Arabidopsis thaliana: one gene and its partners. The protein of the gene in region 2 interacts with the protein of the main gene of each other region in a pairwise test. Each region holds a gene or a part of one and is shown on either strand. Other genes may lie near its edges.

What was found.
Region 1: the proteins of MAP70-1 (region 2) and AT2G45920 interact in a two-hybrid assay, tested with the Arabidopsis thaliana proteins (one large-scale study listed by BioGRID).
Region 3: the proteins of MAP70-1 (region 2) and AT2G32650 interact in a two-hybrid assay, tested with the Arabidopsis thaliana proteins (one large-scale study listed by BioGRID).

The regions. Positions count from the first base shown.
Region 1 is NC_003071.7:18,895,238-18,905,636, forward strand, and holds AT2G45920 (U-box domain-containing protein), read left to right. Parts: upstream 1-3,391; 5' UTR 3,392-4,125; coding exon 4,126-4,347; intron 4,348-4,425; coding exon 4,426-4,547; intron 4,548-4,646; coding exon 4,647-4,751; intron 4,752-4,922; coding exon 4,923-5,154; intron 5,155-5,253; coding exon 5,254-5,577; coding exon of another isoform or gene 5,578-5,662; coding exon 5,663-5,860; 3' UTR 5,861-6,066; downstream 6,067-10,399. Other genes in the region: AT2G45910 (U-box domain-containing protein kinase family protein), read left to right, coding at 1-12, 150-254, 434-731, 826-960, 1,168-1,692, 1,876-2,622, 2,790-2,975; AT2G45930 (uncharacterized protein), read right to left, coding at 6,708-7,370, 7,464-7,520; AT2G45940 (hypothetical protein (DUF295)), read left to right, coding at 7,756-8,465, 8,557-8,944; SK20 (SKP1-like 20), read right to left, coding at 9,436-9,595, 9,745-9,917, 9,992-10,083. UniProt on the Arabidopsis thaliana protein: Functions as an E3 ubiquitin ligase.
Region 2 is NC_003070.9:25,507,392-25,519,196, reverse strand, and holds MAP70-1 (microtubule-associated proteins 70-1), read left to right. Parts: upstream 1-4,595; 5' UTR 4,596-4,970; coding exon 4,971-5,211; intron 5,212-5,302; coding exon 5,303-5,388; intron 5,389-5,558; coding exon 5,559-5,624; intron 5,625-5,693; coding exon 5,694-5,864; intron 5,865-5,936; coding exon 5,937-6,107; intron 6,108-6,217; coding exon 6,218-6,373; intron 6,374-6,455; coding exon 6,456-6,602; intron 6,603-6,710; coding exon 6,711-6,782; intron 6,783-6,874; coding exon 6,875-7,405; intron 7,406-7,486; coding exon 7,487-7,674; intron 7,675-7,765; coding exon 7,766-7,805; 3' UTR 7,806-8,310; downstream 8,311-11,805. Other genes in the region: AT1G68080 (2-oxoglutarate (2OG) and Fe(II)-dependent oxygenase superfamily protein), read right to left, coding at 1-286, 425-829, 901-996, 1,090-1,162, 1,241-1,316, 1,411-1,537, 1,605-1,667; AT1G68070 (Zinc finger, C3HC4 type (RING finger) family protein), read left to right, coding at 2,430-2,890, 2,976-3,092, 3,170-3,302, 3,382-3,540, 3,624-3,785; FKF1 (flavin-binding, kelch repeat, f box 1), read right to left, coding at 8,500-10,087, 10,189-10,460. UniProt on the Arabidopsis thaliana protein: Plant-specific protein that interact with microtubules. In association with MAP70.5, is essential for the normal banding pattern of secondary cell wall and for the proper development of xylem tracheary elements and wood formation.
Region 3 is NC_003071.7:13,845,752-13,854,716, reverse strand, and holds AT2G32650 (RmlC-like cupins superfamily protein), read right to left. Parts: upstream 3,729-8,965; 5' UTR 3,581-3,728; exon of another isoform or gene 3,346-3,580; intron 3,198-3,345; 5' UTR 3,171-3,197; coding exon 2,751-3,170; 3' UTR 2,729-2,750; downstream 1-2,728. Other genes in the region: RLP22 (receptor like protein 22), read left to right, coding at 1-820; AT2G32645 (B3 domain protein, putative (DUF313)), read left to right, coding at 1,858-2,330, 2,632-2,728; AT2G32640 (Lycopene beta/epsilon cyclase protein), read left to right, coding at 3,906-4,037, 4,327-4,444, 4,528-4,715, 4,797-4,904, 4,984-5,048, 5,164-5,269, 5,361-5,444, 5,599-5,745 and 9 more; AT2G32630 (Pentatricopeptide repeat (PPR-like) superfamily protein), read right to left, coding at 8,009-8,965.

The DNA of each region.
Region 1 (10,399 bases), on a different chromosome or scaffold from region 2:
ACACTATTCAAGGTATGCTTATGGCGAGTCACTAAGCATTTTTTGGGATCTCTACTTATTCATACTGAATCAACTCCTGTAGATCTGTGTGCTTCTTACTCTTCAATATCCTTATGTTTTGCTTCCTCTATCAATACTTTGGCTTTCAGGAGAATGACGGATCTGAAGTCCAGGAAAGCCATCTTCGTACGCCGAGAAGCACCTACTCTTTGTCAAATATGGTTTACTTGCAAAGGATACTTGATACATACAAGGTTTGGCCAATTCTTCTTCTCATCACAACCGAATCCTTGGATTTCAAAATGACTTGTACGAATCAGCCATGCATAATTATTACTCTAGTAGTCTTTAAGCTTCCCGAGATCTGCATTGGCATTGAAAATGACGCATCTGTGGCTGCTTATTAGTAATAAATATTGTACTATCATTGCAGGGAAGCTACTATGGACGACACTGAATCAGAATATGCATCTCCGCGTCCTTCCATAAGTGCAAGTGATCTACTTCAAACTTTCTCTACACCGGAGTCTGAACATCAGCATATATCTCGAGTACAGAGCACCGATTCAGTTCAACAATTAGTAAGCAATGGAAGCTCAACTGAACAAAGCGGGAGGGTGTCGGATGGGTCTTTAAATACTGATGAGGAGGAGAGAGAATCTGATGGCAGTGAAGTAACGGGAAGTGCAACAGTTATGAGTTCTGGCCATTCATCTCCCTCCAGTTTTCCGGTATGCCATGTTGTTCCTAATGGAAAAGCAATGCATTTTGATTTTCATATAACATTGTATCTCAGCTGTCCAGGAAATTTGTCCATCATTGCAGGATGGGGTGGATGATTCTTTTAACGTTAAAATCCGAAAAGCCACGTCAGAGGCTCACAGTTCAAAACAAGAAGCTTTTGCAGAGACTCTTAGGCGTCAGAAAGCCGAAAAAAACGCACTTGATGCAATCAGAAGGGTGAGTTTCCTTACAAAAATAATTTAGTTGGCACTGTTAAAACTTTTTTGGAAATGATTGCTAGATGTTCTAGCTGGAGATATATACTATACTGGAACCGCTAGTGTATCACTTGGAGAGATCCCTAGGCTTAATAGTGGTGCTTCTAGTTACACCAATAACAGCTAAAATATTATAGTATACTGATATTATAGGTAATTATTATAGGCTAAACAATCAGAAAGTGCCTATTCTGAGGAATTGAAGCGAAGGAAAGATACGGAGATAGCAGTAGCGAAAGAGAAAGAGAGATTTATAACAATAAAAAACGAGCAAGAGGTGATCATGGAAGAACTTCAAAGTGCAATGGCTCAGAAAGCGATGCTTGAGAGCCAGATAGCAAAATCTGATGGTACAATGGAAAAGCTAAACCAGAAGCTTGATATAGCTGTGAAGTTGTTGCAAAAGTTGAGGGATGAACGAGAGGAGTTGCAGACAGAACGTGACAGAGCACTCAGAGAAGCTGAGGAGTTAAGGAGTCACGCAGAAACCTCAACCCTACAGTTGCCTCAGTACTTCACGGATTTCTCATTCTCCGAGATTGAGGAAGCAACTAATCACTTTGATTCGACCCTGAAGATTGGGGAAGGTGGATATGGAAGCATCTACGTTGGTTTACTGCGTCATACTCAGGTGGCTATAAAAATGTTGAATCCTAACAGTTCGCAAGGCCCTGTAGAATATCAACAGGAGGTATTTTCTTGACATATTATTAGTGAAATTTCTTGTTTAGTTTCATCATCATTGTTTACTGGTTTATTGTGCACAAACTGCTGCCTCTACGAAAAAGGGGACTTTGAAACACAGTTCTACTGTAGTTTTGATTTTATAGTGTTCGCTGTGGAGGAGCTTTGACTTATTCTTGCGGCATTGCAGGTTGATGTCCTAAGTAAAATGAGGCATCCAAATATCATTACGCTAATTGGAGCATGTCCAGAGGGGTGGAGTCTTGTCTATGAGTATCTTCCGGGTGGAAGCCTTGAAGACAGGCTTACTTGCAAAGACAACTCTCCACCCTTGTCGTGGCAAAATCGTGTGCGCATTGCCACTGAGATATGTGCAGCACTTGTCTTTCTTCATTCTAATAAAGCTCATAGCTTAGTACATGGTGATTTGAAGCCGGCAAATATCCTACTCGATTCCAATCTCGTTAGCAAGTTAAGTGACTTTGGGACCTGCTCACTACTTCATCCTAACGGAAGCAAAAGTGTGAGAACTGACGTTACAGGCACAGTTGCCTATTTGGATCCAGAAGCTTCCAGTAGTGGAGAGCTAACTCCTAAGTCAGATGTTTACTCGTTTGGGATTATCTTATTGCGCTTGTTGACCGGGAGACCTGCCTTACGGATATCAAATGAAGTGAAATATGCCCTCGATAATGGAACATTGAACGACCTCTTGGACCCTTTAGCAGGGGACTGGCCCTTTGTTCAGGCTGAGCAGCTTGCTCGCTTAGCATTGAGATGCTGCGAGACTGTCAGCGAGAATCGTCCAGATCTTGGAACTGAAGTGTGGAGGGTACTTGAACCTATGAGGGCTTCTAGTGGAGGATCTTCATCTTTCCATCTTGGCCGTAACGAGCACCGGATAGCCCCTCCATACTTCATTTGCCCCATTTTCCAGGTAACTAATCTGTATATTTGAGTATGGATTTCCAGTATTATTATCAATCTGAGAAGACTTCGATCACAAAGTCATTAAAATTTGCTTATCTGAGGTCTCAAACCGTTATGTTGCAGTCTAATGGTACTCAACCCGTTCTTCCTCTGCTTTGTTTTCAAATATTTCAGGAAGTCATGCAGGATCCACACGTGGCTGCAGACGGTTTCACATACGAAGCAGAGGCTATAAGAGCGTGGCTGGACAGTGAGCATGATACTTCACCAATGACCAATGTCAAGCTTTCTCACACCAGCCTAATAGCTAACCATGCTCTTCGTTCTGCGATTCAAGAGTGGCTTCAACATCATTTGTGAAAATAAAATCCTTCAAACCCTCAATCCCTGTTCTCTTATGAAAAAACGTTTTTGCCTTTTCTGCGGGAGGCAACAGAGTAAGTGAGTAAGATTAGTGTTTTCAGTCTTCCTTATACATATACATACGATCTAATCATGGATAGCAGCATATTTGTTTACTTTTTCAAGCATAGTGTAAGTCCTCCATATCAGTCATATATGAAAAGAAGAAGCTGGTGAGATTTGTATGTGGATATGTATATATATATATATATATATATATATATATATATGTTCTGTATGAAAAAAAAAGTTATATGCTTATTCGGTTTGTGTGAGAAGAACTGCCACTATTTTGTTCTTCCATTATGTTCGGCTCTCTTAAGAACAAAGATTAGCCTCTAATTATTGGACATGATCTCACTGATGATGCCTTTGCTTAGCTAAAATTAGGATGAGTCTTACATTTTTAGTCAAGACTATCGTGTAAGACTTGTTTTCCACCTGGAAGAAGTTACCTTGGATTGCCTATAGTGATTTTTAATGAACTCTTAAAATTCTTGTGATTAATCTTACTTAATTAGCAGTGGGGTCAGGTCGTTTTGGCGGCTAGTGGCATAACTGTATAAAAATTCAGGATTGCACTGAGGTAAGCCAACCTAACGCAGCCTTTAAAGACACCAACCTGGAAAATGCTGAGAGTATTCTTCAGGATTTTCTCAAAAGTCTTGTGAAATTCGTGTATTTGTGTCAATATGTCGACATTTCTCTTCATACACAGATACTGTCGCTTTTGATTCCTGGTTTGGCTTGTTGAAAGTCAAAAAGCCTTCATTATTTTAATACATGATTCAGCTTCTGCGTTAAGGCTAGGTTTCGTCATTGGTACCGTGGTTGACTTCGTGTGCATGTTATAACATAAGAAAATGTTCTTGCTTGTTGATTGCTCCCTCTGTTAGATAAGTCATCTCTTTTCTCGTATTGCAAATTTTAAGTTTGTTCTTGTTTATTCTCTTGAGTGAATTAGAGGTATGTTTTGAGTGTTCTCATATGGAGTGTGTTGGAGATAGGAGCTTCGATCCAAGCAAAGGGGAAAAGTGTTGGCTTCATGAGGCTTCGATGCAGCCTTAAACGCTAAAATCCAGGCCAAGCAAGATGGAGATAGAGAGAGATGATGGGCAAATCAGGTTCGCAGCAGCTGCTGATGGATGAGAAGATATATGTTGCAGTGGGGAGTGACTTGGGGAACAAGTCCACTCTTGTTTGGGCGATACAGAACACTGGAGGCAAGGAGTTCTGTATCGTCCACGTTCACCAGCCACTCTACAGAAAAGAAAAGGAAAAGACACAAAAGATCCTGGACAAATACCTACAAAAATGCAGGCAAATGCAGGTATGTTTTTGTTACTTCTATTGCGAATAAGTGATTTGATGATACAAGAGATAAAGAGAGCCGATTGTGATATTCTAGGTCTGTGCTGAGATGATACACATTAAAATGGAGTCGGTAGAGAAAGGGATCATCCAATTGATCTCAGAGCGCAATGTCAAGAAGCTCGTCATGGGAGCTGCGTCAGACACACGCTATTCAATGTACAAAGCACACCGGCATAACTAAATAGTTTTGGATTTTCATCTTCTCATAGTTCTTGTTATTTCACCGATGGACTCATCATTAATCTTAATTTGTAGGAGGATGGCAGATCTGTTGTCCACGAAAGCCATTTACATTCGTCAAGAAGCGCCTGCTACTTGTTGTATATGGTTTACTTGCAAAGGATACCTGGTATATAAAAGGTCTACCCCTAGTCCCTGTAATCTCTGTACAACTGTAAATACTACTTCAGAAGTTTTTTTTAAAATGATATTTGTGTTTTGTCACACTCTTGTGAGTTTTAACAGGAACTGAGATTGTGAGAACAATCACATGTCACAAGCTCTAATATATCTGGTGATGGTATAATGCAGGGAATCTATCATGGGCAACACCTCTCTAGAGTATGCATCTACAAGTTCTGGTCAAGATTCAGTCCGTTCACGAGGATCTGTTATACCTTCGCGCCAATTCACGATATCTAGAGGAAATGGAAATGTGTATCAGTTAGCTGTCTTTGAAGCTGAGAAATCGAAAAAAGAAGCAAGCTTGGAGGCTTTCAAGCATCAAGAAGTTGTAAAAGAGAAAAATGAAGCAATCAAAAGGGTAACATCTTCTTGGAATCTCACATAAGCTATTGCCATTGCCCATTGGGAATGTTGTCCTTTTTTCCTGATGATAACGAAGTTTTCTGACCAAATGTAGGGTAAAGAATGGGAAAGTGCCTATTTGGAGGAGTTGAAACAAAGGAAAGAAACAGAGATGGAGCTGAAGAAAGTGAGAGAAAAACTCGAAAAGATGAGGTATATATCTGAGAACCGAATAACCGAGTCTTATATGTTGGTACAAAAGCTGCAAGACAAGTATAACTTGGCAACGAAAGTGTTGAGAAAAGCCAAGGAAGAACGAGATTTATTGATTAAAGGACGCGACATAGCAATTATAGAAGTAGAGGAGCTAAGAAAAGAGGTCTCTCGATCTGATGAGCACCGTGAAGCTCCTCAGTACTTCATCTGTCCCATTTCACTGGTAAATAAAAAAGTCAATATGGAGAGAAACAGAAGATTGTATCGAATCAGTTCACAAATTAAAACCTTTGTTTTCAATGTTTCAGGAAGTGATGAAGGATCCACAACTAGCAGCAGATGGATTTACATATGAAGCAGAAGCCATAAGTACATGGCTTCAGGGAGGACATGAGACTTCCCCAATGACAAACACGAAGCTTCATCATACAAAGTTAGTTCCAAATCTTGCTCTTCGATCTGCAATCCAGGAATGGCTTCACGCTTCATCCTCTTTTAGAAAGTGAACAGAAATAAAATCACACTAAATATATATTCTTAAGCATTTGCTTCAACGAACACGTCTACTTGTACTTTATATTAAACCCATGTAATGAAAAACCTTTTCTTCATTTTTCTCTCCATTTTCTATTTATTTTCTTAGTAATACAATCTGACCATATGTATTACGTTGAAAACAGCCAATTAACGAAATAAAATATGAAAAGATACTAAATCCCATTTGTTAATTGACTTTATCTTCAGTGTGTGAGACGTAACTGCTTGTGAACTTCTTCTTTTCTCATCTTGTGTCAGTGTGTGGCTTGTGAACATGTCTTCATTAGTTTCTTTCGAGTTTACATAACACAAAGTGAAACAAGAAACTGGATTCTATATTGGATCCACCAACTAAAATACAAGAAGAGAATAACTAATGAAGTTTGCATAGTAACTAGAGAGGCATTGGAGGGATCCAGTAAGGGAAGAGTGGTGTTGTGGAGAAGGCTGAGGGAGACTTGGGACGAAAGGAACGTGGTTTTCTAGTGGCGATATCGTAAACACCAAAGCCATCGCCTGCAAAATAGATGGAGTTAGGGTTTAAGCCAGGGAATGAGCTTGCCTTGACACAGAAGGGCTCACTTCTGCCGAGGAATATGCAGAGATCTCCAATGTCCTCAGTGTAACACATGTTCATATCTTCCTCCTCTCTAAAGACCATGAAATGCTTTGTTCCACGACACAAGAATGTCATCCTCTCGCCCGGTTTGTAGTTCTGAGCGTACCACTTGACTAGGAAACGCTGTCCTGAGGGAGACTCAACGAGGTGTACAGTCGGCGGGGAACATGAGTCCAAGAGCTCCCACTCGGACTGTGTCACCTCAGGAAGGTTGCAAAACCGCAACTCAAATCCTCGAAGCAAGAATCCCAGAAACCCAACAAATGGCCTCCAACACTAGGAGTGTAGAACTTTTTATCTCTCTTTGAATACATAACCTTTGACTGATCAAAAAAGTGGGATTCGGTTTTAAAGCCTAAACCCGAGTAGTTGTCAGTTTTGCCACAAGGCCTAAAGAAATGGATCTCAAGTCCTAAACAATTGGCAGCCACTACAAAATCTTTACTTTGATCTGGTGAACAAGTCATTGCAGCGTTAGTGATGAGGCGTAATTGAGTAATATTAGGTTTACCCATGGGATACATGGGATGCAAAGGAATGATTTTGGGATTTGATTTGGAGCCACAAGGATTGCAGTAGTCGCTAACATAAACGGCTTTATGTCTACCATCACCTGTCTCCACATTGAAAACTCCCCATCCGTGGGACATTCCAACCAGACTCGTATTACGCAACTCCATGGGAAAGGCCTTGTCTCTGACAATAATTTCATCTTCCTTGACCGGGTCAAAATAGTGTATAGTGCTTGTTACATCAATATCATCCAAACAACTTCCATAATGTATCAGACTAAACATCAAGTAAGGGTTGGTGGTGGTGGAGGAGGAGGAGAACATACGAAGGGTACTGTGGCGGCATCTCTGGGGAAGAGTAAGAAGTAGACACATAAGAAGGAGAAAAACGAAAGAGGTTATACAAAAAGAACTAGAGAGAGGATAGATTTAATTAATTACCAGAGAAAGTTTGCGGAGAGAGGTCTTGGAAGAGAGGCGGAGAAGCAGAGATGACATAGCTAATAGCTTCGCTTGGTTGCTCTGTGTGTTTCTTCTCTAAAGGGTTTTCGAGTTAGTCAAGATCTAATTAAGACCAAAGTGCTTGCCACAAGAAAAAGGAGAAGTAGGGTTCTCAATTATTACTAGAGAGATGTCTCTTTCTCTTTATTTTTTCCACGTTTCTCTCGTTTTTCTCCTTCTTATGTGTCTACTTCTTACTCTTCCCCAGAGATGCCGCCACAGTACCCTTCGTATGTTCTCCTCCTCCTCCACCACCACCAACCCTTACTTGATGTATTATGTCACCTATTCTGATGAAGCCCCACAGGCCGGTGCAATGACAGAGCTCCGCATGTTTGACCCGGCCAAGGAAGAGTATTTCACCGTCCATGATAAGCCACTTCCCAAAGAGTTGGTTAAGTCGAGGCTGGTGGGAAGTTCCCATGGTTGGGGAGTTTTTCTTGGCTCCCCTAATTCCATACTAATTAGCGACTACTGCAATCCCTCCAGCTCCAAATCAAACCCCAAGATGATCCCTCTGCCTCCACGGAGTTATGAACACTCTTGTCAAAATGAATTGGTTAGTGGCGTGGCAATGTCCTCTTCTCCTGAAGAAGAAGACTTCGTTATGGCTGTCAAGTTCACGGGACGTCGGGTGAGTATATACAGGCCCGGTCAACATCGTAAGGGGAACCACCGCTTTTCGTCTACTGAACTGTTCGATTATTTTGAACAAGCCAACTTGATGTATTCCAAGAGAGATCAACGGTTCTACATGCCAAGTTCTGGAGGCCACCACTTGTGGTCTTGGGATGGTATAATATCCACCGACTCTCAGTACCATGACTTACGCTTTCACAACCTTCCTCAGTTTTCACTTTCCGAGTTGCAGCTTTTGAGATCTTGTTACAGAACACAACATCTTGTGGAGTCTCCCTCAGGACAACGTTTCCTAGTCAAATGGTAGGAGCTTCTTCTAGTAATTTGTTTGCTTTTGTCGTTTCATGTCATCATTATAAGAACATTTTCTTCCTTTTTTCCTTGTGCTTGGCAGGTCTGTTCAAACCCTTGGCAGGTCTGTTCAAAGCCTTGCGCATCGGTCGGTAGAATTCAGTTTTGGCGGCACAAAGCTGTTCATGGTGTTTAGAGAGGAGGAGGATATGAACATGTGTTACACACAAGACATTGGTGATCTCTGCATATTCCTCGGCAATAACGAGCCTTTTTGTGTCAAGGCCAGTTCATTCCCTGGCCTAAACCCTAATTCCATCTATTTCATAGGTGACCGTTATGGTGAAGGCTATGGCGTTTACGATATCGCCACTAGAACCCCACGTTCCTTCAATCCCAAGTCTTTTTCAGCTTTCTCTGATTTACCTAATGGCCAAGGTTACGTTCTTCCTAATTGGCTTCCTCACTGGATTCCTCCATTTCCTCTCTAGTTGTTAGGTCATTCGTTTTCAAAAGCTTCATTATGCTTATTTTTCTCTTTTCCTTTTAGCTATAAATCGCAATTTGCATTATCATCTTGCTACTCTGCTCCCAAACAAGCAATTGATCTTGATCAAGGAACTTAAAACCATTTATTACACTCGCAATGGTGGTGATATCAGAGTGTGTGTATATGATTAATTTCTAAATGCTAAAACAATGGAACCTAAACACAAATTGGAACAAAAAAAATAACTAACGTAGAACGTGGGTTTACAAAGAAAAAGATGGACCACTAGAGAGTAAAACAATCAAAATCAAAACTGTTACGTGAGGACACGCATCAAACGCCGGTGGTGACTGACTGGTGAACCATTCTCTTTTCTTTCTATTTGCTCACATACTTAACCAAAACTGTTCCATTATCAGCTTCAATCGTGTCATGGAGATTGACCTTCAAATTCAAACCACAAGCCCCATCACATAGTCATCTAGAGTATGGCTAAAAAAGAGTAAACATACATGGCCGCCAAATAGATACCATACCTGTATGCCGTCTTGTAGTCCCGTTGCCATTTATGGAGAAGTGTACAGGCCTTCTTTCTTTTCCTAGCGACCGAACCCAATTGGAGTTCAGTCTTTGAGCAAAATCTTCAACCTCTCTGTCATTAATTCACCACTCATGAGAACAAGTCTATTTCATTTCTCAGCTACAAGATTTCGAAGGAGCATCTTTATTCAAGACTTGGAGAATGATGTGTAAACATTCGTTATAAGAATATCCTGGTTTTGATTTTAACAAGGGTCTTACCTATCAAGCAGTTCCCTCATGGCTGGATCGATTTCATCGTCTATATCTTCATCTTCAGACCCGGCATTTGGCGTAGAAATGTCATCTTCTGCACTAAGTAAGTTGGGTACCTCTCTCATGCTGGACCCAATCTCTTCAACACATTGTTGTTTGGAACGGAGATCATGTGATTCCTAAGCACAAAAAACACATTCATTGACTTGGTAAATACCGACCAGAAAACAAACACAGAGAAACTAGTCTGAACCTTGTCATGAATGTTATTTGAAGAAACAATCTTCTGATCCTTCTTTTTCTTTTTCTTCTTTTTTCCCTTTGACATCTTTACAGCCTTGTGATCTGTGAAACAGAATTTTCCTTACTTCCAAAGAGGCCTTCAAAAGGAAGTAGAATAGAGAAAGGAGAAAACTAAGATGCAACACAAACATAAATTCACACACCAAATATCTCAATCAAAGATAGATTATGATTTATTCATGAAAACAATTTTTAAATGGCAGATGTATAGCCAAACAGATAGTTGCACTAGACGATGAGTATTTTTATCTCAGGCATTGGGCAAGAGGAAAATATAGTCAATCACCAAAAATATACATCACTGAATCAACACAAAAAGATTCCAAAGATGAACTATAATGTGGTGGTACAGTACTAC
Region 2 (11,805 bases):
GAGGCAAGGATGATAATAGCTCCTTGAGTAACTTACAGCTATACTCTTCCCAAGAGGTAACCGCGAGAGCTATACCCGTCAAGTCGAGTGAATCCTTTCGATCCTCACCAGAGCACGAATATCCAAAAGTTGTGGCTACGAGGTTCTCATCTAGCAGGAAAACTGATTTCAGGGCATTGATAGTTTCCAACTGAGAGTGGGACATAGCTTTCACCTCTTCTAATGTGTCATTTTCGACATTAGAAGTTACGAGTTCAGAAGCTTTCCAATGGTAGAACTGAACAACCTATTATCCAGCAAAAGAGAAGAAATAAGCATTTGATTATATATGATGAAAGGAAGCCCGTTTAACAAGACATTTACTATATCAACTAATCACTAACGACCTCGAAGAAACTCATGTGAATGTCAAAGAGAAAAGTACCTGAAGAGCATGAAGAATGTTGGCAAATTTTCGGGTGAGTAACTTTCCTCCTTTAGCTAATTGTAGTGGTCCCATAAGTTGTTCAGAGGCATCCGTAGAATGATCTTCGCCTTGTAAGCTATGTACATCAAAACCAAGAAGATGCAACCTCGCAACGCAAACATCAAAACCTATGTTTTGATTAGAACCATCTTGATGAGGACAGAACCAGTACATGTTAGTGGATGCAGGCAAAGGGAGGCACACTTCATGTGATGTACATTGTGAAAGACGAGAAAGAAGCTTGGAATCTTCGTCATGTGATGAGTCCCGGCTAAACCAGAGTGCAAGAGTCAATCTTTCTCCATCTGTTACCTCATCAACTGAGTGAATATTCCGGTCATCAGCTGTGTACATGATAACATCCTGCTCAAGAACACAAACTCATTATTCAATCTAAGTAACCACTAAGCCAACTGAAAAAGAACAATACTTACACCAGCCGATGGAGCAACGGTTACTGGTTCACCACTCTGAAAACGAAAAAGACCGCCTATGAAATCTTTCTCGTAACTATTCAAGTAACAAACTGCCTTCAAACCAACTAAAAACCAAAGTCATACACACATAAACCACAATATCAACAAGGACGTCTATAGATTACAAAAATGAGAGTGAATACGAACCGCAAAATCTCTTTGTTTTAGATATGATCTGTTATCATCACTATGCCAACCAATGCTAGCTCCTTTGCACCAACTGATTCAAAACAAAGAATCAATATTTACTCTTTTTTCCTGACTTGTTTTGTTAAAGAGACAGGGGAGAGAGACTAACCTAATCAAACCTGTGAATTCAATAAAAAGCTCATACTCACACCCAAATGTTTCCTCTATCTTCTCTTTCAACCTCTCTGTTAACTCAACACAACAAAGATCATCCCTTTGAATCTCACAAAAGTAAGATATAAAGACAAAAGCGAAATCTTTGAGTTTTAAAAGATTGACCTCTAATGGAGACAAAAGGGATGATGAGGTGAGGAGAATTAGTGGCAATGAGGTGAGAGAGAGTAGTGGAGAAGACATTTGGTCTGTACCCAATTGTACTGCTACTCTTGTGTATAAGCTCAAGTTCCTGTTTTTACCTCAAAATTAACCAAACCCACATGATTAGACACAAAATTAAGCAAAAAAGGGACAACCTTGCATTCTGCCGGCGACAGGAAATTGTGTAGAATTAGCCGAGGGTGCTCTTTCTCCGACATGTCTCTCCGGTTTGTGTAATGAATCCAATGAACCCAGATCGATTGTGGTTGTTTAGGGTTTCAGTTAATCCTGTTCTTACTTGTCTTGTCTATTTCGGTGTACCACCGCTTTTGGAATTAAACTGAAATTAGTTTGTTAATCTTTTTTTTCTTTTGTTCATTAGAATAATTAATTATATGATGTTAAAAAAAAATTATTATGTAAGAAATGTTAAGTCGGTAAGTTCCAATTAACTTAAACCGGAATTTTAGAAGACAAATGTTACAAAAACTTTTGAAAATAACTAATCAAAGTATCAAACTGAGGTAAAATGAGATTATACTAAGTGCTTACCACTACAATCGAATTTAAGTTCTTACTAAACTTCTAATGTTGTTCAACTTTTGCTATCATGAAATCCTCTACCAACCATCGATTTTTGTTCATTATTTACATATTTCTAGTTCAACATTATCACCACCACATTTGCTCTTAAACATAACCGAGAAGACAAGTGTTAAAAATCTCAATTTCCTAACCACCAGTCTAATTGTTGACTACTAAAACGTCTGTAATCCTCTAATCTCTAACTCTTAACACATATTGTTTAAAGAGCAAATTAAGAATTAAGACAATTATGAATCACCGATACACTTATTAAAGTACTTTCTCTTGTCTCTATTTTGACTTTTGAGTGGTACTGATAGGTACAAGAAACACAACAAACCCTAGATTTATCTTCATCTCTCTCAATTCTGTATCAAGCAAAGACGGATTCAACGATGTCTTCACCTGAATCACCTTCCGGTTCCGACTCATCCACACCACTTCTCCGTTCACGGCAATCATCACCACGTCGTCAACCTGTAATCGCGGTTCTATTAAATCGAGCTTCAGGACGACGAGGAGCTTCGATGGTGGTTAGAGAAACAGCTGCACAAGAGCTTGAAGAGCGACGAGCTGATTGGGGTTACTCGAAACCTGTTGTTGCTTTGGATATGCTTTGGAACACTGCTTTTGTTCTTGTTGCGATTGTTATGCTTTTGGTTTTTAAAGAAGAGAAGCCAAATGTTCCTATTAGGATTTGGATCTGTGGTTATGCGATTCAGTGTCTTGTTCATGTTGTCCTTGTTTGGCTTGAGTTTAGAAAGAGGAATGCTAGAAGCAGACCTGGAGATTTAGAAGCTGCTCAAGCTACGAATCAGGATAGTGAAGATGAAGACAACGATGAGAGGTTTCTGAGGTTAGCTCTCGATTCAATTATCTGTGCTGTTTTGTTCTTTAGCCAAATGATTTACTAATGATTTATGAGAATCAATTATTTTCAGCACTAAGACTTGTGAATCAATGAACACTATAATATCATTTGTCTGGTGGATTGTTGGATTCTACTGGCTTGTTTCTGGTGGTGATATCCTTCTGCAAAACGCGACGCATTTGTATTGGTATGTGTTGGTTTGCTCAATGTTTATTTCTTCTAGTTGAATGGTAATGACATCATTATGTTTATTAATGTTTGCAGGTTAACCTTTGTTTTCCTTGCATTTGATGTGTTCTTTGCCATCTTTTGCGTTGTGCTGGCATGTCTTATTGGAATCGCCCTCTGTTGTTGCCTACCTTGTATTATTGCTCTTCTTTACGCCGTCGCGGGGCAGGTATGGACTATAACAGTAACCCTTTTGGAAGAAATGAAAGCAATAAACTGCCTTTTGATATGTGTGTGTGTGTGTTTAGGAGGGTGCATCAGAAGCAGATCTCAGCATCCTTCCCAAGTACAGGTTTCACACGATGAACAATGATGAAAAGCAAAGTGACGGTGGTGGGAAAATGATACCTGTGGATGCAGCGAGTGAGAATTTAGGAAACGAGCGTGTGCTTCTTCCCGAGGATGCTGTAAGTTTTTGTTTTGAAAGTTATCTTGTGGATGTTTTATATGAAGCTTAGAGCTTTCTTTTGAATTGGGTTGGTATGTGTAGGACTGTTGTATATGTTTGAGTTCATATGAAGATGGAGCAGAGCTGGTCTCACTTCCTTGCAACCACCACTTTCATTCTACGTGCATTGTGAAATGGCTGAAAATGAATGCGACATGTCCACTATGCAAGTTCAATATCCTCAAAGGTAATGAACAAGAATGAAGTAATGTAGAGGAAACTTTTCTTCTTTTTATGTTGTGTTTCTTTTTGTTGTATATAGAGTAGAGAAAAAAGAAAATGATTGTGTTGTTTGTAAGTCATAAGACAGTTTGTTTCTTTGTTGAAATTTGTTGTCAATTCTCTTTTTTTTTTATCAAATAATAATAGATATATTCATCATGTAGCTAATCGCGTAAGACAAAAATAATCCTCATTTGTGACATTATGTTTGTTGTTCATGTAAACAAACATAAACCCCAAAGATATATCTAAAACAAATCAAGACCAACATAAACCCAAAAGATATATCTAAAACAAATCAAGACCAAGAGCTAAAGGTAATACAACAAGTTAATCTATAAAACTTCGGTCGCAAATGGCAGTGATATTCAAAAAACGAAACATTATATTGATTTACATTCAATTTAAATAGATTTTTTTTGTTTCTCATAACAATTTAAAAGGACTTTTATTAGTAGAGAATCAATCAAATTTGTTAAAAGAGAAAACATACATAATTGATTGTCCCTCAAAAAGAAAAACAAAGAGATCTCAACAGATTACAGTGATTAGATTAGTGTACACGTATTTAGTTAACAACAACAAAAAAAAAAAAAAAAAAAGACATATTACACGTTCCCTCCTCTCACGCGCAAAGCATCTCTTTGACTAATCACATCTTTTCTACGCTAATCACATCACTAACCAAAATAATTAACCATCCACCTAAATTATATACATACAATATTGCCATTTACTATATTATAATTACTAACCTCTATATTTCATACTTAAGTGCTTGATCAAGTGAACGTTGATTAATTAACAACCTAATCTAATCTTTGTTTTTTTTCCCTCTTCTTGTCTTGTCACACTTGCTATTAGAGAAGACGACTAGAGAAAGAAAGATAAACAACAACACTGTGACAGCATTTAAATCTCACTCTCTCTCTTGTTTCCATCACTACAAAAAAAAAAAAAAAAACGAACGATCTCTCTGAAACTATCTCTTTCTCTCTAGATATGTTGTTGAGACTCTGATTTGAAATCCCAGAGAAAAGCATTTGGATCCTCTCTAGAAATCTGCATTTTGAAGCTACTTTTTTGTTTGCATCTGAGTGTGTATAGATCCTGAGGAATTTTGATGTGTTGTTGAATCGGAAGGAATTTAGATCGGAGTAGTCGGAGATGTCTGACGTTTCGGCTGACGGTGGTTTTTTGTCGGCGGAGCAAGCTACAACGCCTGTTGCGATTCCGACGCCGTATCCGTCATTGACGGTGTCGGCGTCCTATAAGGAGAAAAGTTCTGGGAGGAGGAGACCGGTTAGGCCTAGTTTTGATGCAGCTGCTGATAATGAGTTTATTACTTTGCTTCATGGTTCGGATCCAGTGAAAGTTGAGCTTAATCGGCTTGAGAATGAAGTTAGAGGTGAGATCAATGCTTGCTCGATCTAGTCGTTTTCGTGTCGATTCAGATCTGATTTTGTTTATTGACTTTGTTTTTTCAAATGTGGTTTTAGATAAGGATCGAGAATTAAGTGAAGCTAATGCTGAGATCAAAGCGTTGAGGTTATCTGAGAGACAAAGAGAGAAAGCTTGTGAAGAGGTGTGATTTTTTTTTTCCTTTTTTGGAAGATTTTGTTTGTTTTTTGTGGCTTATGGATTAGGTTATGGCAATGTTGTTAGAGAAGATTGATAGCTTATGTGTAGTTTCAAGTTCCTTATTGTGCTTCTTGTTAGCTGATTTTTATCTTATGTGCTTTGGAATTTTAATAGCTTACTGATGAGCTAGCTAAGTTGGATGGGAAGCTCAAGTTAACTGAATCGCTTCTCCAAAGCAAAGTATGTATCAAAATCTCCCTCCTTACGATCATGATTTGGCTGGATATCTGATTATGAACTATGTTGCAGAATCTAGAAATCAAGAAGATCAATGAGGAGAAGAAGGCTTCCATGGCTGCTCAGTTTGCTGCTGAAGCTACCTTAAGAAGGGTCCATGCTGCTCAAAAGGATGATGATATGCCTCCGATTGAAGCCATTCTAGCTCCATTGGAAGCTGAGCTTAAGCTAGCTCGCTCTGAGGTATGTTTTACTCATTTGAAGTCCAAATTTCTACTTGCAAATCGGATATTAATTTATGATGTTTCTGTGAAGATTGGGAAGCTTCAAGAAGATAACAGAGCTTTGGATCGTCTCACTAAATCAAAAGAAGCGGCTTTACTTGATGCTGAGAGGACTGTTGAAACTGCTCTGGCGAAAGCTGCTTTAGTTGATGATCTTCAGAATAAGAACCAAGAGTTGATGAAACAAATAGAAATCTGTCAGGTGCTGTACTCATTATCATCTTCTTTGTATCTAGTTAGTCAGGCTTTGGATGCCTTCTACTTATCACTCATTGTTTGTTAATAATTTCTATTATCTGTTTGATTCTTTAGGAAGAAAACAAAATTCTAGACCGAATGCACAGGCAAAAGGTTGCGGAGGTGGAAAAGCTTACTCAGACTGTACGGGAACTGGAAGAGGCCGTTCTTGCTGGTGGTGCTGCTGCAAATGCCGTGAGGGATTACCAGCGGAAGTTTCAAGAGATGAACGTAAGTTAATACATTTCCGAAAAAAGAAGTATAGAATCTTTACTCAACTGATGAAGGAATATTTCTTGCTCTACTTTTGCAGGAAGAACGAAAAACTCTTGACCGGGAACTTGCGCGTGCAAAGGTTACAGCAAACAGAGTTGCGACAGTGGTTGCAAATGAATGGAAAGATGGTAATGATAAAGTGATGCCTGTGAAGCAATGGCTTGAAGAAAGAAGGTTTCTACAGGTTTACTTTGATATGATTGCCCTTTTCCTAAATTTGTGGAATCCAGATTCTTTGAAGTGACAAAGGCACACAACCTTACATTCTCACTCTTTAACTCTCTTCTTGCAGGGAGAAATGCAGCAACTCCGCGATAAGCTTGCCATATCAGATCGAGCTGCGAAATCTGAAGCACAGCTAAAAGTATTCATCGTATTTATGCATTAGTCATTGTCGAATTTATGTTCTTGTTTAACTGAACTAATTAGTAAACTATTTCCTTATACAATTTCTAGGACAAGTTTCAACTACGACTTAGAGTGCTTGAAGAGACACTGAGAGGCACATCAAGCATCAGCATAAGGAACACACCTGAGGGAAGAAGCATGAGTAATGGACCGTCTCGCAGGCAGTCAATCGGTGGATCAGATAATTTACAAAAGTTTGCGTCAAATGGCTTTTTGTCAAAGAAAACTCCGATGAGAAATTCCTTTACTTCTAATTCCACCTCGGTATTGAAGAATGCTAAAGGAACATCCAAGTCATTCGATGGAGGCACAAGATCATTGGATAGAGGCAAAGCACTCTTAAAAGGACCTGGGAATTATTCGTTCAACAAGGCTTGTGATGAAACCAAAGAATCAGAGTCACCTAATACCTGGAAAGAAGATTCAGAAGAGAAGCCACCAAGTGAACTCCCTGCACCAGCAACCGAAGACAATGTCCCAGGGGTTTTGTATGATTTACTACAGAAGGAAGTAGTCGCCTTGAGAAAATCTTCGCATGAAAAGGATCAAAGCCTCAAAGACAAGGATGATGCCATAGAGGTAAAATCTCTCTGAATGTACCATATAAAATGTTGTTAAAAAGACGTGTTTGTAATGGAAGTCTTGATATTTTTCTTGTAGATGTTAGCAAAAAAGGTTGAAACTTTAACAAAGGCAATGGAAGTTGAAGCAAAGAAGATGAGAAGGGAAGTGGCTGCAATGGAGAAAGAGGTTGCTGCAATGCGTGTGGATAAAGATCAGGATAATAGAGCTAAAAGGTCTTCAAACACCAAACCCTCATCCAACACCGCCCAGATTCTTGCTGCAAGGTATCTAACAATGTTGAATATCTTTGTCTATTTTTATGATCAAATTGCGATTTTAGCAATCAGACTAAGCTTGGTGTTCGATATTCTGCAGAGCTGCTGGCCGAAGTGGGTTAACAAGGAGTACACAATGAGATGAGGGAGGAGATGTGACTAGTTCTTGTGGTCGTATCAGTTTAAACAAGTAAAACCGTTATAGGCTGGTGTGATTTTTAAGCTCTTTTTAACCTTTATATCTCTTTTTTATTTCTCTTGCTTTCCTTTACATCCTCTGTGATTTATTGAATTACCATAGAACTTAAGGATGAAAAAGATAAGTATGCTTTCTGACTTAGATCGGCTTACACTGCTTAGCGATGACGACAAGAAAAAAGGGTGGAGGGAGAGATGTTTGACATTTTCGCATAACATTTTCTGTCCTATGGAAGTAGTTTGTTTGGCTGTATAGGTTTTAGCTCTGTATTGAAGTTTGTGTACTTTACTTTTTCGGTTTCTTCATTCTATTTACTTGAGGTGTTGTGTGATTATTTCTACTTTTGGGTTTGTGGATATATATATATATGTCCAAACTCAGTGTCTTCTCTCTTTTGGATGGTACGTCAAAAATCAAATCCTGCATGGTCGAGTAACAAGGAGAAGTATATTATAGAAGGATCTTCATACAGCAAAACCATTAACATTACATGAATATCTATCTAAAGCGTACAACAATCACTAATTTACTATGTACACACGCTTCTAGCTTCTGATATATCTCTTCTACATGTCGTAAGAGTTTGGAATGTGACAGATACAAAACCACAAACCAAATGAAGAAGGAAAGAGTCTTTACAGATCCGAGTCTTGCCGGCTAGCCAAGCAGAGTTCATGTAATTCATTGAGTATCCATTCCTCACCAGTGTGACCACCAAGGACCAATACTCTAGTTCCTCCAACAACGCATGTGCTATGTCCCCAAGCTAACTTAGGCGGTTTCCCGGGGACATTCAGGATCCTCCATGACGGTTTCTCTTCTGCAGGATCTATTAGAAACAGTTGCGAAGGAGAGTGAAGCCCTGCAATCGACCCTCCAAAGATGATGACCCTACCACACGGCATGCTCACAGCCACATGGTCTAGTCTTGGAGGCGGTACAACCACGCCTGGGAATGCGCTACACTCAAGCTCTCTCCATCTTGGTTCTTCATCCTCCAAGTCTATAGTGTATGCCTCCCCTGACCTTAGCTTTAGATGACCACTATTTGCAAGCCCGCCAAACATTAGGATTTTAGTCCGACCAAAGACCGATAAAGAATGCCCAAGTCTAGAAGGAGGAGCCCATGATGTCGGGATCTCTTTCCATGTCGGTTTATCTGTTGTCAGATCCAACAAGAAGGTGTCGCTGAGAAGCACTCCAGCGTCTGTGCAGCCACCTGAGACAACCAGTTTAGAGCCCTCAATGGTGCACGAGCTGTGCCAAGATCTTGGCAATGGAGGAGTTCCTCCTGCTACTTCCTTCCATGTGGGATGCTTAGCGTCTAGATCAAGCACAAATACATCATTAAGCAATCCTTGTCTTCCACACCCTCCAAAGACTACCAACCACGACCCGTTGAGACACGAGAGTGTGTGTCCCCAACGTCCTGGAGGCGACGACGTCACCCTCACACGCTGCCACTCAGGACACTCTGCATCAAGATTGAGAACAAAAGTATCATCCAATGGCTGCATGTTAACCCCTTCCCCACCAAATAGCACAAGCCGGTTCCCAACAGCACACGCGCTGAAATTGCAGCGGGAAGGTTGTACAATCCCTCCAACAGTAAATTTACGCCAACACACAGCTTCAAGAGTGGTGAGCTCTCTAGCTAACCGACCCCATCTTAGCTTCTTAGTCATAATCTCCAGTGTTCCAGTTATCTCTTTTCCCCACGCATTCTGACATACCATCTTCCTCACACTCTCGTTCTTCGTCAACTGCCTCAACCTCCTGCAAGCAGAACCAATTGAAGCAACGTCCCTTGGAGTTAACCGAGATAAGATGTTATGAGCCAAAACTTCATCAGATAGCTGCAATATCCCACAGAAATCTTCATGATGCTCCTTAAACCTCGGGCTTCCACTTGGAAACAAGCACTCAGATGTTTGATCAAGCTGTTGTTTATGTTTGAACACAGGATACGAGACACGGTCAAGGTCTATAGTCGTTTCAGAGAAGACCTGTATCCCAATTACGTGTGTAATGGTTCCATCATCGTCACGTATTGGAGCAAGCCGTAGTCTGTTAACCAAAGGAGTACCATCTTTTCTGAAATTAAGAAGCTCTCCTTGGAATTCAATACCTTCTTCAAGACATCTCCTAATCTCAGATACAACCACAGGATCAACCAATGGGTGACGCCTTTGAGCTCGAGGATCTCTGTACTGTAGGAATCGACTGAAACCAAGCAGATTCAACCACAAATGCAGCATTATTCAAGAGAATTGATAACAACACACTCCAATTCAAAAAGGGGGAAATCGGAGAAATTAATATACCAGTTACGACCAAGAACTTCATCGGCACGATAGCCAGTGAAGACTTCGAAGACTCTGTTGACATAGATCAAAGGAAAATCTGGCTCCAGAGCATCGGAAACAATGAACGAAGGCGGAGTCATTGGGTAATAGAACATCCCAACCTCTAACGGAAGCTTCTCATCCTCTACTTGTTCTTCGATTCCATCGTTACAGTATTCTTCTGCTTCTTCAACTCTGCCGCGTTTCTTTCGTTTTCCGGTGGCTTCTCCGATCGCATGTTCTCTCGCCATTTTTCTCGCTTACAGAAATATCTTCTTCTTCTCTGATAAGCTCTCAGCCTTATGATATTTTATTTCTTTTTGTGTCTGTTTAAACTTTTAAAATATCTTGGCTTAGTTGGTGACTTATTGACGAATATACCCTTTATATTTAAGACGAGGCAAGAAGTCTTCGCGCCAGGAGTTGGTGGCAATTTTCGTAATTAAAAGGATATATCAGGGGTATGTTTAAAAAAAGTAAGTCTACTCTTGTTCGATTGTAACACGTCACCAGGGGATATTCCGAGAAAATATCTAGCCTACTCAACCACTCGCTTCTTCCACGTCATCATATTTTGTGAAAGATATTTGTTTTTTTTTTGAAGATTGAGATTTGAGGGAAGATATTTGTTTTTGTTTGTGAAGTGTTGGAACTTGGAAGTTGGAACGCAATTGGAATCAGATTCACGTAACCGTTGACTCTGGTCAAATAATAGATATTTTTGTGAAACGCGATTCTCGAAAAGGTTACACATAATGTTAATGTAACAAATTGAGTTTTCGTGGTGAGTGGAATGGGATGATGAGACAAGGGAGTTTTTCTCCCCAGTTGAGAAAATTCAGATTTAGCTCTAAAACTTCCCACTTATATAAGTTTCTAAACAAAAAAATTACATTAGAAATACGAAAATGTACGTAAGTAATGTAAATATGTAATAATTGATAGCAATAGTGGCCATAGACCCCACATAGTGGCATACTATGAGAGTAATAGAGTTAAGTGTAGTCCTAAGATTTACAGAAGTCCAGATCTAGGCCCATACTAAATAGCTAGCCCACAAAGCCCACACAAAAACTTAATTTGAACCAAATAAATAGACAACATATTTTTTTTATTTTTCTTAACCGTGTGAGAAGGCTTCTGACCATAATCTTTCAAGTACATGAAATCAACCTTTACATATTCCAATTGTGTTCAACCAAAAAAATATTCCAATTTAAATAATATATTTCCATTCCAAAAAACTAAACACAAGAAAACTAACCCTTTTGGTATATAGACAAAATAATTGTTTCATAGATTTATCTTTTTATTTTATCTTTAATTTCTATACAATTAAAGGTAAATTAAAGGTAATTTCTATACCACTCCAACATTTCCTGTTATGTTTCATTAGCTACTTCAAGTTTTAGATTTATATCGGGTTCACAAGACGTCAATAAATTACATTCCTTATCACCTCAATAAAAAAAGTTATGATTTTTTGTTTTTCTTATTTTTTCTTTACTTTTTGATATAAAAAAAAGTTCTGGCTTTTGTTATGTAATTTGATTTTTTGAACACAAACAATCGAAACTCAAACATCTTTTTGGTGGA
Region 3 (8,965 bases), on a different chromosome or scaffold from region 2:
CCGTTCAAACAGTTTCCATGGTCCTATGTCTCCACCAGATGATCAAAGTTCTCTTGCATTTCCCAAGCTCCAGATACTTGAAATATCGCATAACAGATTTACGGGAAGCTTACCAACGAATTACTTTGCGAATTGGAGTGTAAAATCTCTCAAGATGTATGATGAAGAGAGGCTATATATGGGAGACTATTCGAGTGATCGGTTTGTTTATGAAGATACTTTGGATTTGCAATACAAAGGTCTATACATGGAGCAAGGCAAGGTTCTTACTTTCTACTCCGCCATTGATTTCTCTGGCAACAAGCTTGAAGGAGAGATTCCAGAATCTATTGGTCTTTTGAAAACATTGATTGCTCTCAACTTATCAAACAACTCATTCACTGGACATATTCCGATGTCTTTCGCTAATGTGACAGAGCTCGAGTCATTGGACTTGTCAGGGAACAAACTCTCGGGGGAAATTCCACAAGAACTCGGAAGACTATCGTATTTAGCGTACATAGATGTCTCTGATAATCAACTCACTGGTAAAATACCACAAGGAACACAAATCATAGGGCAGCCTAAATCCTCATTTGAAGGAAATTCAGGGTTATGTGGTCTTCCTCTTGAAGAAAGCTGTTTAAGAGAAGACGCACCATCGACACAAGAGCCCGAAGAAGAAGAAGAAGAAATATTGGAGTGGAGAGCAGCGGCAATAGGGTATGGACCAGGGGTGTTGTTTGGATTGGCAATTGGACATGTTGTTGCTTTGTACAAGCCAGGGTGGTTCATCAAGAATAATGGTCAGAATAGGCTTAGAGGCATCAGACACCCTTAGGATTAAAATTGTTCTGTTTCATTTTTTTTTTGTAAATTGATCAATGAGTAAGTAAAGTTACTCAAAAACAGAATTATGGCATGTTCTGTTTACATTTAAACTATGATCTTATAACAGAAGAGCCGAAACTATTAAATTAGTTTCTTCCATATCAAACAACGTATTCATGACTACTTCATTTTATTATGGAAACATAAGAAACAGAACAAGTATTTCTTTACATGTGAAATTTTTTGAGTAACGAAAACATATGTTACATTTGTTGGGTAAGGGTAGTTCGTCCTTTAAGGATAACAAATTATTAGGCGGCTTAATTTAGAGCCCAGGAGTGTAAAAATTGTAATCTCACCGACTCTCATTAATTTAATCGCAAAATAAAATCAATTTCCCTATGAAGAAAAGGAAAACCTGAATACCTTCGTTCCTTGACTACAAAGCTAACCTTTTTCTCTTTCGCTAGAACTCGAGTTTCCTTCTAGGTTTTATAATTTCCGGTTCTGTATCTTCAAGAGACTTGATCAAGATGATGAAATCTGATGATCGTAGTTTTTCCAAGCAGAGATGTTTGACGAGATTACGTGAAATTCTTCAGAAGCCCCAAACCTTTGGTCGCTTTGAGGTGGAACAAATTTCGAGACGTCAGTGGGATGTGCACAAAGAGTACGGTACTAACGAAGACAAAAGCTTTAAACTGTTGAATCCGCCCGTCATGTCGTTAGAGTACGAGACTAAGAAAGACAAATCGAAAAAGAAGGAACCTAGGGTTAACTCAGGGCGGGTTAATATGCAGGAGTTGATGTACGAAGTTGTCGCAGAGTTGCCGCTTGACAGCCTCTTAGAACGTAGATCAATTACTTCCGTACTAGAAAACCCTAATCCGGATTCACAGTCGTCTATGTCATCTTGTGTCAGTCAGTCCAAGAAAAAACGTTGTTCTGTTAAGGTGGAAGAGAGACGTCCCAAGAAAGGCAAAGTCGTTAGTCCTTTAGAGGTGCAACCAAATTCAAACGACTCCACCCGATTGGCTTTTGAACGTTATGAGGAACGAGAATGGCTACAATCCGAAGCTGATCTCAACGAGGGAATTGTTTAAGTCTGATCTCGATAAAGGTAAAGCACGTCTCCAAGTCCCTTTTAACCAAGTGAAAACTCCGGACTTTTTGACAGAGGACGAGACAAGAATCATACATGAAAATGCCATGAAGATTCGTGACGATGGTGTGCCTGTGAATTTGGTGGATCCTCGGATGAATAAGCATGCGCTTGAGTTGAGGAAGTGGAAGATGAAGGGAAACTGGAATTATGTCTTTGTTAAAGGTTGGAACGATGTGCTTGATGCTAACAAGTCGAATTCGTTTAAGGAAAAAGACGTCTTTCCTCTCTGGTCTTTCCGATCTGGAACAGGCAAACTCTGTTTTGCTCTCACCCCAAAAATTCCAGCAACGGCTCTACTTCAGGAGAATCTGGCAGTGGCGGCGATGGTGCTTCTACTTGAGGTGAATCTGGTCAGGTACCGTTACCCATTCCTTCGGCAGTAGATTCTAGCCACTCTGGCCAAGGCTGTTCAGGAGAGAGCAGCTCTAGTTCTTCCTAATCATAACTCTGCTTATTGCTTAAGCCACAAGTAAAACGGATTTAGTTTTCAGGCAAATCTGGCTTGGTTTTCTTTCTTTTTTTTGTTCAGTTGATGAAATAGTGGGGTTTTGTCCAAATATGATGTTTTGATTTGAGTTTCTTTCTTTATGTTTGATTTTTTTTTATCTCTCTCTGATGCTGCCTATGTTTACTTATGATTAGCATTGAAAATGCAGAACAAAGGAGAGAGAACTTGTTTTCTTATATTATCACAAAAAGATCCATCAGGCTACAACAACACACAACAAGTGTAAAGTTTCTTGGCTCTACTAAAAACTCAAAAGTCTAAGTTGGATCAATCATCACCATAGGCCTTGAAACAATACCGCTCAATATAAGGAGCGTTAAAGAAAAGATCAGCTTCCAACCATTTCGGATACCGAACAAGATCTCCAGCTAAAAACTGCATATACCTCTTGCTTCCTTCGGGAACTACTCGAACCTCTCCTTGTTCAATGTAAACCAACTGATCCACCTGCCAATCCCATGGCAATTTGCATTTCCCTGTCTTCCAAACTGACCATCTCGAAACCCCGAGTTCCTCCAACCGTTTCTGTGAAACTTTCCGTTCCACTTTAACATTGTATAGCTCCTCTAATGGTTTCTCTGTCTGCATACAAGTCACCTTAAAGGCTCTCTGAACAGACAGGTTATTTGTCTTCTTACATGCAGTGACAGAACCTGGGAATGGTGTAGTCATTATCAGACTTGCCATGGCTGCTTCTATCCAATCTTGTGAAACCTGAGATCCACAATGAACTTTAAATAACACATATCGAAATTCTTTGTGATGTGTTAAAGTCTTGTAACTCCTGAAACAGAGAAAGAAGGTGAATTTCTAAACTCTAGTGTGTAAAAGTGAATTATATTGTAAAGCTGAAGGCTTTATCATTTACTCTCTTTGCAATAGCTTATATGAATCAATGACACAGCGTAACACAAAAACTCACAATTCAGGAAATTAGCTAATGCCCATTTGCTATTTCGATTGGAAAAGTGAAAACTCATCGCAAAATTGAAGATATACGAATTTAACCCAACAAGTCCGCAAAAAAAGGTTGTCGATTTCAAAACCAAAAAAAAAAGCGGAAGACAGATTATACGCATCGAAATCGAATTTCTTACCAGCGGAAGTGTGAGTGAGAGTAACCCTTAAACCCTGAAGCAGTCAGGCTTATCCGATCCCCGATTTGATGAATCAGTAAAAAAGAAGAAGAGGATATAATAAATATTACAGAAACGATACTAACATTTAGATTTGTTTTAATTTTAGAACAGAAGTTTGTTTTGAGTTAATGTAACCCAAAATGTTTTTGTTTTGTAAGACTGTAAACGTGTCACATTCTCTGACACATTGCACAATCTTTCCAGTTTTCTCTTCACAAGTTTTATCTCTGTTTATCAAAAGTTCGCTCTTGGTTTTATAGCATTTGTTTTGGAACTCATTGTCATGGTGGTTCTGCAAATTCATCAGTTCAATGGGTTCGTTAGTTCCGTATCAAGGGCTCAGACAAACCAAGGAAGAAGGAGAGCTTCGACGACAGTGTGCGTTCAAACACAATTGGCTCCCTCTCTTACACAGGTCAAGCTTTCTGCTCAATTACGCATCCTCTGGGGGGAAATGAGAAAAAGTTGTGAACTTTATCAGGATTAGAGATGATTTTGTGGTCTGCATTGTGATGAAAGTTTGCTCTTGATAACTGATAATTGATTTTCATTGCACAGGAAAAGAAATTTTCATCGCTTTTGTTCTTTCTTAGTTGTTTTAGTATTTGAATCTTGAGAGCCTTTAAGCGAGATTGCATAAGCATGTTTAACTTCACGATGAGTTGTTTTTAGCTGAGTATGAGTTCAATCATTTCGATATGCAGAAGATAATGGAGAGTATTTCAGTTGGTGGAGAAGCTGGAGGTGCTGGTGGTGCTTACTCTTATAATGCCTTGAAGAGACTTGACAATATTTGGTCCAACATATGTACTCAACCAACAGGTAATAAGAACAATAGTCTTTTGGTAACCATTCAGATAATTAAGAAATATGCTTCTCTTGGTGATGAATGTTAGTCTTTGCAGGACCACAAGAAACTCAGCAAATTGTTTCTAGGGTATCTGGTTTTTCTCAAGATTATAGTATGGGGAATAATCTCGTTGGAACCTTTGACATAGTGGTTTGTGGGGGTACTTTGGGGATTTTTCTAGCCACGGCTCTATGTGCCAAGGGTTTAAGAGTCGCTGTGGTGGAGAGAAATGCAATCAAAGGGGTAAAGCTTCTAGTTAATGCTGTGGTTGAGGTCTGGTTGGAGAAGCTATTGTTAAAGCTTTTTGGTTTTGTGGTGATTTAGAGAGATCAAGAATGGAATATCTCAAGAAAAGAGATGAAAGAACTGACTGAAGTCAGAGTTTTAACCGAAGATGAGATCGAAGAAGTAATTGCTGCAAAGTTCAATCCGGTAAAGCTTCTCTTCAGTAAGCAATATCTTGATGCTTTATAAAAGTCATGTAGCTTAAGGTTATCTTGAACAAATGCAGAACAGATGTGGATTTGAGAATCTTGGTGATATATGGGTTGAAGATATTCTTAACCTCGGCGTTTCGTGAGTCCTGTCTTCTCTTATTCTCTAATACATAGGAAAAGAATAATCCCCTTGTGTTCTGCTACTTTCTGAAAGTGATGATTTGTTTGTTTTTTCGTTTTGTATGTTAAAACAGCCCAGCCAAACTTGTGGAAACTGTAAAACAACGTTTCATTTCTCTTGGTGGAGTCATTTTAGAAGACTCCAGCCTCTCGAGCATCGTCATCTACAATGATTTAGCTGTGAGTTATCTGGCGTTTTCTCCAAAAACATTGTACCTAAGAAGAGTATTCAGCTTATTGATATGAATTGTTTGAACATTTTGATTGACAGGTTATGCAACTTTCTAAAGGTGACACATTATCTTCCCGTCTCGTTATTGATGCCATGGGAAACTTTTCTCCTATTCTGAAGCAGGTCATATCTTGGCCTAAGAACATATCTACTTTTACATTTTCATTTGCATTAGTTATGGTGGTAAAAAAATAAAACTTACTGATTCGCTTTTCTTGAGCAAATTGTGTATTGCCCTTGCATAATACTTTTCTTGTTATGTATTCTGCTACAAAAGATCAAACGTGGTAGAAAGCCAGATGGAATGTGCCTTGTTGTTGGATCTTGTGCTCATGGGTTTAAAGAGAACTCATCAAGCGACGTTATATATAGCAGTTCATCGGTGACCAGAGTTGCAGATTCCAATGTACAACTCTTTTGGGAGGTAAAAAAATCTGTCCCCATTCTAACACAATTCCCATAACCACAAAGAAATGGTTTTAATATAAGGATGCTTATTGTTGCTTTAAGGCTTTCCCGGCTGGCTCTGGTCCATTAGACCGCACTACTTACATGTTCACTTACACTGAACCGCAATCAACATCTCCGAGTTTAGAGGATTTACTCGAAGAATACTGGAAACTGATGCCAAAATACCAAGTGAGTTTCCTTCCATCTTATATCACAATCTTTCATCAACTTTCGTTTTTTCTTTCTTTTCCTGATGTCTTTTGGCAAAGGGAGTCTCTCTTGATGAATTGGAAATACTGAGAGTTGTATACGGAATCTTTCCTACATACCGAAATAGGTACGACTTTGACAAGAAACTCCGTTGATGCCTGTATCTCTATATCTATCATCTCTGGAAGTTTGAAATTCTATCATTGATATTATAATTCTGTTTACCAGTTTCGTACAATAATACTGCTGCATTCTGACATATCTAACCCTGTTGGATTGGACTTGTCACCAGTCCGTTGCCAGCTGCATTTGATCGTGTTCTACAGGTTGGTTTGGTTCATTTATATATAAGCTTCCAAGATAAGTTTGCGGATTGATAATTTGATAAACTAAATAATCAAAGTTACTTACAAATTTTTTACTCAGTTTGGTGATGCTAGCGGTATTCAATCACCTGTTTCATTTGGGGGTTTTGGAAGTTTGACCAGACACCTTGGAAGATTGTCCAATGGTATATACACTCACTCTCTGAGAGTACACTTGCTGTCTCCATATCTCATTGAACATTATACAACTTTTTATATCATGAACTCTTTCAGAATATTCAGATTTTCTGACAATCTTATTGTTCAACTTAAAAAAGGAATCTATGACGCAATAGATGGAGATCTTCTGGACTCTGACAGCTTATCAAAGCTAAATCCTTATATGGTAATATAGCTTTGTGGTTCTCAGCTAAATATCTTTCTCCCTGCTATTAACTTCACTGAATCCATTTGGCTTTTGAACGACAGCCAAACTTGAGCGCATCATGGCTGTTTCAAAGAGCAATGTCTGCAAAGCAACAGCTCGATGTTTCCCGTGGCTTCACCAATGAGCTTCTCCATGTAAATTTCAGTTGCATGCAGGTATAGTACACTTTTCTAAACCGGGAAATGAGAGTTTCGAACTTTGGCTTCTAAGTAATGGTTTCATATTTCTCTTGTAGAGATTGGGCGATCCAGTTCTCAGACCATTTCTTCAGGATATAATACAGTTTGGTCCTCTAGCAAAGACATTAGGCCTTGTCATGCTGACCAAACCTCAGATAATTCCGTCAATATTCAGACAGGTATAGCTCTCCTTTGATAATCGTTGCATCATTTTTGAACCAGAAAACGGAAACAAAAGATTGAAAATGTTCTTGGTTTATTCATGAAATCTTCGTTTCTTTGGTGATTCTCCTCAGGTTGGGATACCTGTTCTGCTTGATTGGTCTGTTCATTTTTTCATGCTGGGCTTGTATACGCTCCTCTCGGCATACATCGATCCATTGCTAAGGTGAAACATTTCTGAATCTCTTTAAGAAATTATGTATGGATTGTTGCTTCTGTTGCCATGACTCTGCCACATTATGGATGTCGTGTTTCTTGAACTTTCTTGATATTTTTGTGTATTCTCAGGCCGTCTTTGGAAGGACTTCCCTCAAAGACGAGGTTCGAGTGGAAGAGATGTCTCGAGGCCTGGAAATATGGAGCTGGCCTCGATTATGAGTTGTGATTCTGTTCGTATTTCTGAAGAATGGTACCCTCATCGTCACTGGCTTTTTGAAAGAATAAAAGTTCATCAGATATCAACATCTAGTACTTCATAAGCTTCATAAATGTCTGGCTCATATACACAGAATCAACATCTCAATCCTTAGATTTGATTCACAGGGTTCTAGAAAACTCCTTCAATATCAGTTTATACACACCTACATTCGAAAAGCTTTGTTCTATGAACAGACAAATTTATAGTAATTTAATACACCAAAAGCGTCGAGCTTTGTTTTCTTTACCGCGTAGACATCAATGGTGGCTTGATTGATCCATTGTGGATACCAAATGATCATACTCCAGCAAAGTTTGATACATACCCTGTCCCAACTAGCTCAAAGAATCTTTCAGAAAATAAATGGTTCTGTTCAAGTAACCGATTTTAACCATTAACAGGTAGAGATTTCAGGGGTTACCAGCTCATACAGGTCTTTGTTTGACGAATATGTTTTAAGTCTCAGGTGAATGCATACTTCCAATGAGTGCAGTATAAACCTTATTATCTATTGTATACCCTTTCCTTTTCATCTCATCGTACAATCCAAAGGCTTCGTCTGATTTTCCAGCTTTGGACAAACCCGAGATCATCACCGTGTACGTAACAGAATTCTGGTCCAAACCCTTCAACCCCATCTCGCTAAAGAGCCTCATTGCTTCATCCACATTATCAGCAATACATTCCCCGTGTATGAGCGACGTGTAGGTATATGAATCCGGATCCATCCCATTTGCTTCCATGTTGGCCCTTAGTTTACGTGCTTCTTTTATTTTCCCTTGCTTGCAGTAAGCGTAGATCATCACATTGTACGTGATAGCGTTGGGCTGTACTCCCTTGCTGCTCATCTCCACAAATAGCCTCTTTGCCTCTTCAACGTTCCCTTCTTTGCAGTAAACATCGATCAAATTAGTATAACTAACCGTGCTAAGCTTCACACCACCCTCCATCATCCTGAACAGCCATTGTTTTGCCTCATCATACCTTTTCAATCTATTGAAACAGCTAGCAATCGTATTACAAGTGAAAACATCAGCTTGAAACCCTTTCTGCTCCATCACATCATAAATCATTGATGCTTCATCAACCATCCCTTTCCTGCAATACCCATCAATCAACGTATTAAACACCACCTGAGTGATATTAACTCCTTTACTTTGCATCTCGTTCATCAATATCTCAGCTGCACCCATTTCCCCTACCTTACACACCCCGTCAATAAGCGCCCCGTAGGTATAACTACTCGGCGAAAGTCCCTTCTCTGTCAATTCATCAAACAACAAAAACGCTCTTTTCATATTTCCCTTTCTACAATTCCAACTTATCAAAGAAGTATACACATGAACATCAGATTCTATTCCTCTCTCACGCATTTCATCGAACAGCTTCTCCGCATCACTCATTTTCCCATT